Drosophila melanogaster: one gene and its partner. The protein of the gene in region 2 interacts with the protein of the main gene of each other region in a biochemical or structural test. Each region holds a gene or a part of one and is shown on either strand. Other genes may lie near its edges.

Region 1 (6,601 bases), on a different chromosome or scaffold from region 2:
TTTCGGTTCGGTTCGGTTTGGTTCGTTTGTGTTTTGTATTTTGTTTTTAGGTGCTTCCAACGCGCCCATCAACAACAACAGGCGTAGATGCAAATACAAACAAAAGAATTCATTATTTTACTGCTGTGCATTTAAATTTGATACAATACACGCCATTTCTACACACCTACGAGCCCCCACGACTACATATTCGCACTTTCATTTCGGACATGGTCCTTGCATTGTGTGTATGTCCTTTCGTGCCTTTCCCAGCCGCTCCCGGTTTGTTTTGTTTTTTTTTTGAGTTTTGCATAAATTTTCGGCCCTTTCGTTCGGTTTGCTTTGACCTGGTTTTCCACCAGGGCTTTTCTCACTTTTCCCACCAGCCACAGCCAGTTTGTGTGTGCTTCCTTGCCTTTCCGTCTCCGTTCGCTCATCGCCGCTCTGTTGCGAGCATTTTTCGGCTCTCATTAAAATAGGTAAACAAAATCGCATAAAATTTCCTGATAGACAACAGATAAGAGTTAAAACTTTGCGCAAACTCCGGTCGGAAAACTCTTTTCGGGGGCCAGTTTGGTTAGGCAAATGAAGTGTAATTCCCGATGAGAGCGGAGCCCCCATAACGCTTTCACCGAGCTTACTGGGAGTTAAATGCTCAAGTGGCGCAATTACAGGTTAACTTTGGACTCGATAAGGGTTAAGTGTCCGCCATTACGTCGGCTTTGTTTATTTTTTAAGCTAATAACTCCTTTAGCTTGAGAAGGCTTAGTAATTTATTGGTTTCAATTTTGTTGCAGGCAAATGGAGAGCGCATAGGTCCACAATAGTTTAGAGGAACTAAGTATATATGTCCACATCATTAATTTGAGTATTTGACTCATCCAAATTCGGATTGTTTTTCGGTTTTATCGCCTTTGCGGATTTTTCTTGCCTAGATATACTTTATTGGTTTCAATTTTACAAAAATATTAAGCAAACTAAAATAAACTGACAAAATTAATTTTTATTATTATAAGAGATTGCTTATGCTTTCGTGCAAAAACATTAATATGTTCTTCCAATTTCGAAAATGTTTCTTCTATCTTTATTAGTATAAATTACGATATCCACTAAAAGATTTCGTGAGGCTACATTACAACTATATTTTGTGCTGATTTCAAGAGTACTATTTTTCCGTCAATGAAATGCGTAATATATTTGTATTAAACTGCAGTAAAATGTAATTTCTGTTTGGTATAATACAATTTCTTGTTAAACTAAATAAAATAACTTTAAACTGTATTATAAAGAACCATGTCAAATTTCTTTTATAAGCTGAACTTTTTTTCTGGCTTCTTTGAAAGCTGGTTCATCAAATTCCATAAACCCAACCGAATGGAATAAGTTACTTTAAATTTGTAGGTAGAGCTATACCAGACACATTTTCCTACATTTTCTCTATGTAAGCCGGAATTTTACGAGCATTCCAATAATTGGTGCCCGGATATGCAACGCCTTTCGGCGTCCTACTCGCATCGCTTTTGCTTCTAGTCCTTAAAGCTTTCACTTGGGAATCCTAAATCAGCCTTACGATCATAAAACGTCCATACTTCATTCCGATTCTGAGCCCGATTCTCTTCCGTTGCCTTGGAAGCTCACTAGGTCAACACAAATCAGCATAAGCCACACAACTCCACATCGGACAATAACATTTTTATGTGTTAAGCTTTATGACAAAAGGCCAACACGAATGCGAAGGCAGGAGCAAGTGCACAGGGAAAGCCTCAGTACGTGAAAGTTGCTGCAAGTCGGCATAGAAAGTTTACCGATTTGTTTTGGCCGTAATAAATTCGGACAGCTGTAAGCAAGCAACAAATGGGGAATAAGCAAAACAAACGGTCTCGGCCACTGCAATAGTTCAAAGGAAAAGTCAAGGACCCAGGGGCTCGCTGTTGCTTAGGCACTTGGTCCTTTTTTCTGCGTTCCCGAGCAGCGAAGAATCAATCTTTTTCCACAGCTGCTCCACATGTTCCTCGTTTTGCGAGTGCCACTGTCAGAAATGTTGAGCTTGTGTAAACGACCAAGCAGCCAAGTGGGCGTCGAGATGTTCGTTCGGCTTTCTGCCAGCCATTCGCAGTTAACCCGTTATTTACTCAGGATCTGGGAAAACCTATCGCCATCATTTAAGCAAATATTATTCCATTATAACGGAAATTTGAAAATTAATAGACCATCTAGAACTGTTTAAGGCTTAGAACACCCATTTGCATTGTGCTTTCATAAATTAGTAGCAACATTTGCATTCACTATGTAATAAATATAAAATTTGGTACATTTTTCCAAAACAAATAAAGGTTGCAAATAATGCTTACAGAAAAAGTAAGGAAAATGCCCCCGAATGTGGAAGCGAGTTTCTAAATGGGTTAATTCCATTCCACATCCACTAAAAAAAAACGTATTGTGCGTGTTTCTCTGGCTGCACTTGTTTTGTTTTTCTTGGCTTGTTTTTATTTCGTTAATTTTGTTGTTGAGGCATCTGTTGCCCGGCTTCTGTTTTTCCTGTATCTGTATTTGTATTTGTTGATGTGCTTGTGTTTGTGTTGGTTTGTTTGCCCTAGCCCCTGCCAAGTAAAATAATTTTAAATGTAATTCTCGGATGCGCCTACCACTCGGATATGCATCCCATTGGATGTCCTGGCCCACTTGAGAGTGGAGTGTTACTTTTGGCAAATGTCAGAGTGCCTCTACACACACTCCAGATCCACGCTACCCGTCGAGTTTATTTTTCAGCTCATGAACCCCTAAAGTCCTGGCACGGAAATCCCCCTGCTTCTCGAAACCCTCAACCCCCTAACTATGAGTGCACATCTCCTGTTGGCAGGGACATGCATAAATATTATAAAACGTGCTGCTGCCGCAGATAGGTAAGTGCAGATGCCGGCTGTCTGGCCAAAATGCTTAGCCCGGCCCTTGCAAATAAGCCCACTTGCCGATTGTCTGTCCTTGGGCCTATCTGAGCCCGGTTTTTGGCGTACTCTTTGGCTTGTTGTAAGCAGCTTTCATGGCCGGGCTAACTGGCTTAAACCACTTTGTGCAGGAGGCGGCCATAAATTTCGGTCAAATGCTGGTACAAATCTGCACAATGCTTTATCATTTTTATTTTGATTTGGCACTGAGAAGTTTTCCTTTGTTCGAGCGAATTTTATTCAAAAAGGAATACGGGAAATGCCTTTAACGAATGTATATAATTTTTAACTTTGTCTTCAATTTCCCATTGTATAATGGGCTTCGGAAATATTTGTATTCATTTGTTTTGCTAATAACCCTATTCGCTTGGGAATTTTAATTGAAAAATGTCCATAATAACACATTAAAAATGTATTGGTGTTCTGCTGACGAAACAAATACATCGATTCCTTGACCAGTGGGTGGCTGAGCTCAAGGCAATTAATTGCCAGTTAAATGCTATTAAGTGCAGCACGCAGAAGGATTCCATGAATATATTACGCCCGCGACAGCCGATTTAATCGAGAACAAGACGATAAACATTAACGAAACCCGTTTCGAATTGCGAATTAAAGTCGCTTTTCGCTTAAACCGGGATTTGTCATATGCAGAGTCAAATACTTAATTAACTTGCAGTTCCATACGCACTTTTCGAGGACGCGGCAGGGTGCAGAATGTTGGTGGCAGGTGCAGGTGGCAGGTTGCAGGTTGCAGGTGAAGCAATCCGTGCGGCAATCGCGATAAGTGCACCAACAAATGGTTGGCAAATCTGGAGCACTCGCAAAGTCCACAAACAATGTGCAAAAGGTCGCGCGAGTTGGGGACTTACAAGTTTAATAAAGTCATATACACGCACTCCCGATGGCCAAGATGCCAATACACATAATTGTAAGGATGTGTGTATATGTATGAATTGTAGGGGCCACGGCTCAGTCTGACTTTTCCGGCAGAATGACCGACGAACGAAATGTGACCGAAATACACCATCAATTTTTAATATCTATTTAACATTTCAATCAGCGGAATCGCAGCGCTCGCCGCTCGATTCGTATGCAAATTTTAATTAATATTTAATTTTTCATTCATTGTATTTCTGTGTTTTGCCTGCAATTTTAATGACGCATCGCGGAGCGCTAATAAAATTAAATGGCCCAAACAACACAGGACCGATCCACTCACACAGATATTCCGGCACTCACACACTCTCACACAGGCACACTCGACCGAATGAGTTGTGCTTTAGCTTCCTTTTTCGTTTGGCTTGCTTGCTTGTTTTGTGGGTTCCACGCGCCGCGTTTTGCTCCTCCAGCGGATTGGATTTTCGCGTATCGTTGAGCAGAAGACCGTAGCGCCACGTTCCGACACGAATACGAAACTGAGCCACGGCATTGGCAAAAACGCTGCCGAGCACCAAAATATCCTTTGGCTCGGTCGATTCCATCTCGGGGACTTTTGCGCTCGTCGCGCGAAGAGGTCCCTCGGAGGACCAACCTCGTTTTCACTCAATTACCGAATGAAAGTAAAAATGGCACGAGCTCGGCGAAGAGAGTGTATCGGCAGCTTGAGTTTGTTTTGGTTTAAATTGCATTTAAGGAACTGCCAAGGTAGGCCTATCCCAAGCAATTTTACATTCTCGTCCTGCAGGATGATTTTAAATAGAGAACTGTCCATAAGTTGAGTTACAGTTTTATTTACGAATGAAATATCTCCATTATGTTTATCAAATGTTTGTATTATTGACGTTTTTTTATCTTTGCTGGTACCAATGTGACCAAGAACTATCCTTCTTCAAGCTATGAACCCACTAATCATTTTAAAACCATCCTATTTATCTAAAGTTATTCAGCAACTTTTTGTACGTCTTAAGTATCCATAAAAAGGACAGCGGACAAGTTTCTTGACGTTTTTAATAAGCCCCTTATAGTAAAAATAATACCAGTTAACACTCTTATTGACTTAAATATTTTTTTAAGACTCAAAGCCAGCTTCAGGCAAACTGAGATGAAAAGTACCCCTTAAAGAGAAAATTTCCCAACAAGCTCAAACACTACTCTCTTCTCTGCGAGGACAAGCGCCTGCGCTTATTCCAACTTCCAGTCAGCTTATCAAGAAATTATAAGAGTAATTTCCCTTTTGGGATTTATTCGCTTTATTCAGCGCTTTAGACGTCAAAGAATCCGTACATTTTATAAAAAAAGAATATCAGGATTTAAAACGTGGATCCAATTTGGGGACCTGAAATCATAAAATCATAAGTCAACAGTTATTCAAATTTTAATAACTTACCGAATATTTTTAGATATTATTACATCTTCATAATCTTCCAAATCTGTAAAATTTTCAACAGTTAATATATTCAACTTTCTTGTTATCGAAATAGCTGAGTTAAAAACAGCTGTACATTTCTCATTATTGAAAAAGCAATTATTCATAAAGATATTGTTATTGTTATTCAGTTGCCACCATTTTTATAACGTATAATGAAAAGAGGGGATTCAATTACTCATGCATAGGTGTTTGTAATTCAATTAGTCGAATCGAATCCAAACATTAGGATGTAGTGATTAATTCATCGATTATATTCTCATTTGCAAAAAATCTAAAAAATCTTACCCTATCGTGTGCATTTGGCAATGGTGGTCGAACCACTCCAGTTCCTGTGGGTTTGCTCCTGCTGGTGGTGGGATTGGATGAGGATGTGGAGGGCCTGGTCCCCTTTATGCTGGTCAGGGGCCTCGGAGCCGACTTTGCTGATGGTTTTTCGGGCATTTTAGCGGCGCGTTACGAAAATTGTCTGAGACTATTGACAGTAAAATTTACACATGTTTCAATCACTTGTGTGCTACACCGATTGAATTTAATGTGGCCGCCCACTAGATGCCTAGGATATCGAATCAAATTCATATAAAGTCTTTCAGAATGCAAACGAATACACGTCTGACTATGAGTCTGACTTCCAGTCACAGGCCAAAGGGCAGTCCACTCACTCGTCAGTCGTCACGGCAACATAACTGAAGACTCATAAATATATTGTGTTTACAGCAGAGCTCACAGCACTAGTAGCAGACGGATGACAATGATCTATTGTTATTGTTATTACCCAACAAGGGACATAGGTCATTATATTAAATCAATAACAAACATAATGAAGGTTTAAATGCAATGAGTTTCAAAAAGATTATATTTGATCATCAAACAATAGCTGTGGAACAATATTCCAAAATTATGATCTTTCTTTTAGTATCTTGCTTTTTTGAAAACAAAACGTTTTGTAACTCCATCGATTTGCGTTCAGATTTAAAATCATCTGCAGTTTCTATTGGCTTGAAGGTTGGTGTAAATGGACATTCATCATAAATGTCAGCGCCTGAAATTACGCATAAAGCATAAAGCCATATAAATGGGTCTACTTTAAGGCACACTATGTTTATGTACTTTCGAAAAAACTGACGCACTTGCATGAAAAATGTCCGCGTTCATGACGGCTCTACCACCGTAACAGCACAGCTACACATATATTTTTATAAATTAATTTGCATAAATTATGGCATATGGGGCAGGCCAAGTTGAAGCTAGGCCAAAAGCGTTGGCTATTTATCAGGACAGCGCAAATTCCTCTAAATGTCTGGCTTACTGC
Region 2 (6,808 bases):
AGGCTCCTTGGCCTGGCCTAATTGAATTTTCACTAATCCAATAGATTAAGAAGCAGCAGCAAGAGTTGCTCCGTAGTTGCTTGTAATGCAATGCAAAAACAATAACAAAATTATGCTGGCCAACAGAAGGAGCCGCTGACAAGTCTAAGGACATCCTAAGAGACTCCCAGGATGACCTCAAAAGTGCAGGGCAAGTTGCGAAAAACAGTCGACTCTTGGTCCCTAAGAAGAGGCTTAGTTTTCCCTTACCATGCACTGTCTTTGTTTGTTATGTTTTTCAATTACAAAAATTTAATTAGCTGCGAAAAGAGAACGACTTCTCCGTGGTAAATTTAAATCATGCATAAATTAGGAAATTTCCGCATTCCCACGTTTACTTAGCGGCACATTGGGCGCCACAATTAATTATATGTTGACATGACATTTATTTGACTTGCATAAATTAGTCAATTAGTTGATGAACGTTAATAAAGTTTATGGTGAACCGCTAGGAAAGGTGTAAGCGGGTTTATTAGTTGCGTTCTGGTTCATTGGGAAAAAGAGACACAATTCTTAGGACTCAACTTAGTTGAAAGAACATCTATCATAATTTTTTTTCTTTTTTATATATGGTCACATATATGGTCAATTCTTACTTGTTATACTCCACATTTTTAGCCACATTTAAAGACTAAGATAAATGATAATATTTACTCAAAAGTTCACATTGTTTCAAAAGCAATCGAATTCACCTTATTCACTTTACTCAAAGTCTCCCACTTGACCATTTGGCAGTGGTTCCTACTGCTGTCAGCAGATAGAAAATTTCTTGAAGGGCAAGAAAAGTGGAGAGGAGGTCCTGGAAAGATCTTGATGGTTGTAGGTTGTGTGCTCGCCGAACATTTTATCGCCTGCACTCAACGAAAAGGTGAATGACGATGGACGCACCAAATTTTCGACACATTGTGGCGTCCGTCTCTGTGTGAGTATGTGAGATGCACATGGCGTATACGCAATAAAAGAGCGACACTCAAAGCCGTGGTTATCAGAGGAGCTTTCCCCGGCCCTCATGCTTGTCGTCATTAGATTAGAGTGGAGCAAGCCCAGCGGAAGAGAGATAGAGATGAATGAGTGACAGAGAGGGAGGGAACACACAGCGAAATGTCATAGTAAAAAAAAAAATTAATTAGATGCGAAAATTATAATGATTCCTAAATAATAGGGCGATGAATAAAATTTGCTTCCGAGTTTATTTTATTTAACCTTTACAATTTTAATCTATTCTTTAAAGTGAAATATAAGTTTCATATAAGAGAACGAATAATTCAAAAATATTGCAATGTGAGTCAATCAACACTCTTTAAGATCAAAAATACTTGTTTTATCAACGATTTTGTTCGTATGCTTTTTGCTAAGTGCACGAATTTCATGCACACATCGAGGAGACAAAAATTAAACTATGGGGCGTTGCCTTGCTAGGATGTGCGTTAAATTGTAAAACACGAGGGGCTGTGTGGTGCGAGTTTTTACTGGGGAGGGGACTGTGGGGCAAAGGGGCAAAGGGGCAAAAGGACTGCGCCCAGCTGGCCAGTGTTATCCTGGCTGTCATGCTGTGGCCAGTTCTCGTTTATTTTGCGTATTAGACGCTGCTATTTTGTGCTTATTGTCGCCATGGTCCTCTCTGTCTGGCAGCCATGTCCTGCCGTGTCCTGTTATTTTTCGCTTGTTTGGTTCCTTCGGTGCCATTGTCAGCTCATTTGTAATTTTTGGCACAACGATTTCAAATTAAGCAACCGGAAATGAGCTGACATTTTGTATTCTGTTTCCCATTTGCTGTTCGTTCGTTTCGCTTTGAAATGCTCGCATTCGGTAGTGCGCAGCTTAACGGCACTTTAGCGGTTATTCGTCAGGATCGAGATCCATAGGGGCAATCATCATCGTATCCGCTTGGCCGTCGTCGTTATCATCTCCAAACACCCCACACACTCCTCCGCCTGCTGCCTTTCAAGTTATCTTGTCTATTATGACAATATTAATATTTACATTTTACAGTTATTGTCTAGCCAAAGCTTTCTCACACAGGATATCCACCACCATGGATATATGTATGTATATCAAATATATGTGTCTACATATAGATTCGTGTTCTCATGTATCCTTTCTATTTTGTTTGCTGCCAGTGCTGCTTGTCATGTTTGCTGGCTCGTATGCATTTGGTATTTTCTTGTTTATTGCTTTATGTTTCAACCGCTGCTGCTCTATTTTCCACCCGTCCTACAGTTTTCTCCATGGATACTGCATCTTGTCAATATGGTTTCCATTTTGCATGTTGTGCATTAGTTCCGTTTGTTGTTGACCACTTTAGTCGCTGTCTCCTAAGGTTCAGGCTTCAGTTTCTCCTTTTCATGGATGCCACGCCAGTAAATTTTAATTCTCGATTTATTTAAATTTCATTTAAAAGAGATTCAATTTATATTCAATTTCAATGCAGGACTTCATTTTATTTACTAGCTGCGTACAACTAATCGTACCGTTTAGTGTAATAGCCATTAAGATTTTTGTTAGACCTTAGTTTAAAGAAAAGGTTAGGAGAACACGAATTAGTATTAATAGTAAATAAATATGTTGATGTTATTATAATAATTAAACGGGGATTCCTGTTTCCTGAGAATTACATTACCCAATGTAAGTTTACAGAGTCTGTTAAGTTATCAGTTAAATAAATCCCAATGAATCCCTGTTAACAAGCAACTCACTTTTCGAACACGAAAGCTTTTCATCAACGAAACACAACCTCTCTTTTAGCTGCTTTCTCCCGCACTCTCTGAAATTTCCCCAGCCTCGGCTCGTGTTTCGTCAAGTGCCGAGTGGCTCAGCTCTTTATTCTGTGCTCTCGCTGGCAGGACACGAGTACGTACAGCCGAATTCCTTCGATTCCAGCTTCTACTTAACAGCATCGGCATCGGGTCCTTCAGCAGCAGCTGCTGTTGTTGGGATTCCGGCGAGGGCCGACAGCTTCCTGCCGCTGATGCTTCAGTTACGTTGATAATGTCAAATCGTTTGGTTCGCTCTGCTGTCGCCATCGCCCACGGGTGCAACCACAACAACAGTGCCAACGACGAGGGCCAGCGAGCTAATAAATTTTAATAAAATCCCCATCACAACAAAGAATAAACAACAGCGCAACCAGACAACACAAAAAATTCGTATAACAAAAATTGCGAAAGAATCTGCAGTTCGGCGGGCCAAGCAAATGCCCGCTAAAAAAAAGTGTCAGAATTTGTGAAAATTAATATTTCACCAGAGATTTGAGTGTTTCCAAAACAAACAAAAAAAAACCCGAACACTGCAAACAGGACAAACTTTTTCGTTTCGCCAAACTTTTATTTCGTACACACTTTTTTGGTCCTACGCGATTTGCTCGCGAAAATTATGAAAAATATGTGAGAAATGTGCAAAATCCGCAAAATACTAAAGTAAGGGCATAGGTCAAGCCCTATTCTCCAGTGCGGGATATATATTCTGGACGGGCCAAAAATCCCCTGACGTTGTCCTTTCAGTAAACCAAACCCACCCACCGCCCATCTAGTGTCATGTGTATGTGCGAAAAGAAAAGCAGCCAAGTTGAGTGTGTGTGCGCCTGGGTGTGGGAAGTCGTGTAACGTGCTAAAATAAGTTAATTTATTGCCGGCACAACAACAATCACAACACACAAAGACAACAACTGCCGGCAGTCATAACATTTGTGTTGTTCACCAGTTACCCAAAGGTGAGTTACTTTCAGTTGAGCGTTCCGACTGGGTGATGATGATATCTGTATCTGTGATTTTGCTCCGGCTTTTTGTTGGGACTCTTAAAATATAATTTACGGTCATGTAGGCTGTGGATTTTGCAAAACCAAGCAGATTTTTGGCAGGAGAAATATGTTTCGGCAGTGCGATTACACACAAATAAAATAAAAAATAAATTTCTAGATTAGCTTTGAAAATTAGGATTCATTAAACAAAAAAAACTCCAAAGAATGAATGACCATGTAGTTCTAATCTTTTGTCCAGATTACTGTAACCAATCATTTAAGAAGCAAACTGATTTTGTGCCGTAAAAGACGCTTTAAGCTAATTACTCATGCTGTAATAATCTGCATTAGACATAATTCGATTTGCTTGACACTTCGTAATAACTAATTTATCCAAGTAGATGAATAGCTCAGAATAATGAAAGGACTTGTGCCGTAAGTCACTTTACAATTAGGTGTTTGTAAAATTAATTAACATTATAGAATTTTAGTAGTGGATATAATAGTTCTGTGTCGCCCTTTACCGACTCAGCAAAGGCAATTTCCCATTGTGAAAAACAATGGATGTACCGCTATTAAAAATTCAGTTGACCCAGTATGTTGATATTTACATTTGAACAATACATTTCTGAGTGAAACAATTTTAGCCCATATTTGATGGTAACTTTTGGATAATAACCAGGTGGTTAAAATATCAGAATACAAACCCGTTCAAATGCTTTCGAGAACATTATTCACCGGATATGCCTCTGGCGACTCGACAAAGTGTTTTTGTGGAAACCGACAATAAAAATTATGCCGTTCATTTAACTTGTTTGGGCGGAGATTCGTCTGAAGAAAGTGATGGAATGGCCAATTGTAAGTGAAAAGAAAATGTAAAATATTCATTCAGATCTTGTTAATTTGTTGCATAGATTTGGTTCAGACCTACGCCACTGAAAAAAGGCCATCAGTTAGAATTATGAAGAAAATTTTGCAGGCGCACAAAAGGCACGGCTTGGAGTTGAAGTTTCTAAAATATTGCGTGTAAATATATTGGAAAAAATTATTTATTCCCATTGAAAAGTGGTCTGTAGCCAATAACTAGACTAAGAAATATCATGCTAATTGAAAATTTTTATCAGACCATTTGCGTTTTTGTTTTTGAGCTTCCTTATCAAAACTAATGTATTGGTTTGTGAACCAAATTACATTGAGGTTTAATTAAAAAAGAAATTTATGGCTAGGAGCGCGTCAATTTGTTTTCAACTGTGGCAGTTTTTAAACGAAAATATTTTGGTGACTGGAACCGTTGTCAAAAAGTTCGTTCAATTGACCTGTCTTCGCTATTCAAGCGTGGCTAAAAAATACAACCGAATAGCTGAACAAAAACTGTCAGATCCATGACCTACATAAGTACGTCGTGTAACCAAATAGATTGGAAGGTTTTCGAACGAATATTTTGTTTTTCCCCTGCATTCGCTTCGTATGCAAAACCAAAACAAGCAGCTTTCAGATTTTGACCATTTTTCCATTGTTTTGCTAGTCTCTCGAATGGAAACTTTTGCCTGCCCATTTCATTCGTTTTTTGCGGGCTAGCTAACAAAAGTTCGAATGTTAAATGATTTTCATGGCGCAAACTTTGGCAACCCTGAAACTGGACCCCGGTCATTTGTTAGCCTGTCAGAAAGGCAACAAAAATGGGCGCAAATATGCAAGTCTGGCTGACACGTGAATTTATTGCATTCAAAAATATGAAAAGTTCCAATAAAAAGTGCAACAACAGGGTACTACAGGGTATTAGTACAGCGGGCCAAAGCAGCCCCATTCCCAGCAATTTTTGCATTTGTTCGGCACAAAATAGAAAGGTGGCGCACAACCGCCGCTGCAACATCCGCAGTTGCAGGTGCATTTCATGCAGGGCAGCAGGGGACCCACGGGGCCGTAGGTCAAGCGGTACGAGACCACGGCACAGGGCGGTGGGCCACAGCATCCGCCACTGGATCCACCACATGAACCGCCACATGATCCGCCGCAGGATCCGCCGCAGCATCCTCCTGTACCGCCCCTGCAACAGGAACCACCAACACAGCAGGATCCACAGCAGCCACCTCCGCCGCAGGGCTTACAACCAGACCCACAGGATCCAAACTGCGGTCGGCATCGCGGTGCAGCACAACTCATCCTAGAAATTACTTAGCCCTTTGCAACCTGTTGCTAAGTACTTGCCGCTAAAAAAAATGCTAAATACTCCGGGGCAGTGATGGACAGTCAGCTCACAGCTCCAGGCGCCTATTTAGCACCTTTTTTGTCCGCCAATAGTCACAAGTCCACTGGGAAAATTTTATAATTCCTGTCGAATAAAAACTCTTGCAGTTTCCTCAAGTATTTACTGGAAAAGTGACACCAAAGGCAAGGATACATGCGGTTGAAAACATTTTAAATTAGAATCGTATCGAATAAACATATATTGGAGACTAAGTAATTCCATGTATAATTTGCAATTTATATGGTAACTTAACGATTTTTCTTCCTATAAAAGTCTATAAAAGTACTTTTATTCCATCACTCTATTTTTGTCACCAAAACATTGCAATTAAAATTACATCTCAATTACACATCCTGCCTTGCGGTACCATTTAAAACCGACGTATGGTCGCTAGGAATATCCAACCAGAACCACCACGCTTCGTCGAACCCATGTCCTCTCAGTTACATTTGCACAGTTGACCATGCGTGGGTTTGTCTACTAGATCCTCACATGCAGACACCCTCTTACATGGCCTCTGGTCCGTCGGGAGATATTGTAATTGATTGTCTCCGCCTGGATGAATAGGAGTTGGATTGAAGTATCATGGACCGGAGTGGCAAAAACTTTCATCACGGTTCGTTATTCGGCGGATAGAAATTTGCATCGCCAACGGTCCGAGTTAAAACTCGTGGTAGAAGTAATAGAATTATGAAGTTGTTCTGAACAGTATGCAATCTCGTACTTTATTTTGTAACGCTTACTTGATTGGTTGTGTCACAGAGAACACCAATAGAGTAATTTAA

Evidence for each region.
Region 1: the proteins of beat-Ic (region 2) and side-III form a complex in vitro, tested with the Drosophila melanogaster proteins (one study listed by BioGRID).

Annotation. Positions count from the first base shown.
Region 1 is NT_033777.3:5,955,213-5,961,813, forward strand, and holds the start of side-III (sidestep III), read right to left. Parts: upstream 4,344-6,601; 5' UTR 3,613-4,343; intron 1-3,612. Other genes in the region: CG11373 (uncharacterized protein), read right to left, coding at 5,270-5,293, 5,578-5,733.
Region 2 is NT_033779.5:15,997,507-16,004,314, forward strand, and holds the start of beat-Ic (beaten path Ic), read left to right. Parts: upstream 1-2,784; 5' UTR 2,785-3,748; intron 3,749-4,278; exon of another isoform or gene 4,279-4,370; intron 4,371-4,422; exon of another isoform or gene 4,423-4,633; intron 4,634-4,689; exon of another isoform or gene 4,690-4,895; intron 4,896-5,474; exon of another isoform or gene 5,475-5,554; coding exon of another isoform or gene 5,555-5,938; exon of another isoform or gene 5,939-6,135; intron 6,136-6,249; exon of another isoform or gene 6,250-6,786; intron 6,787-6,808. Other genes in the region: CG34167 (uncharacterized protein), read right to left, coding at 5,555-5,938.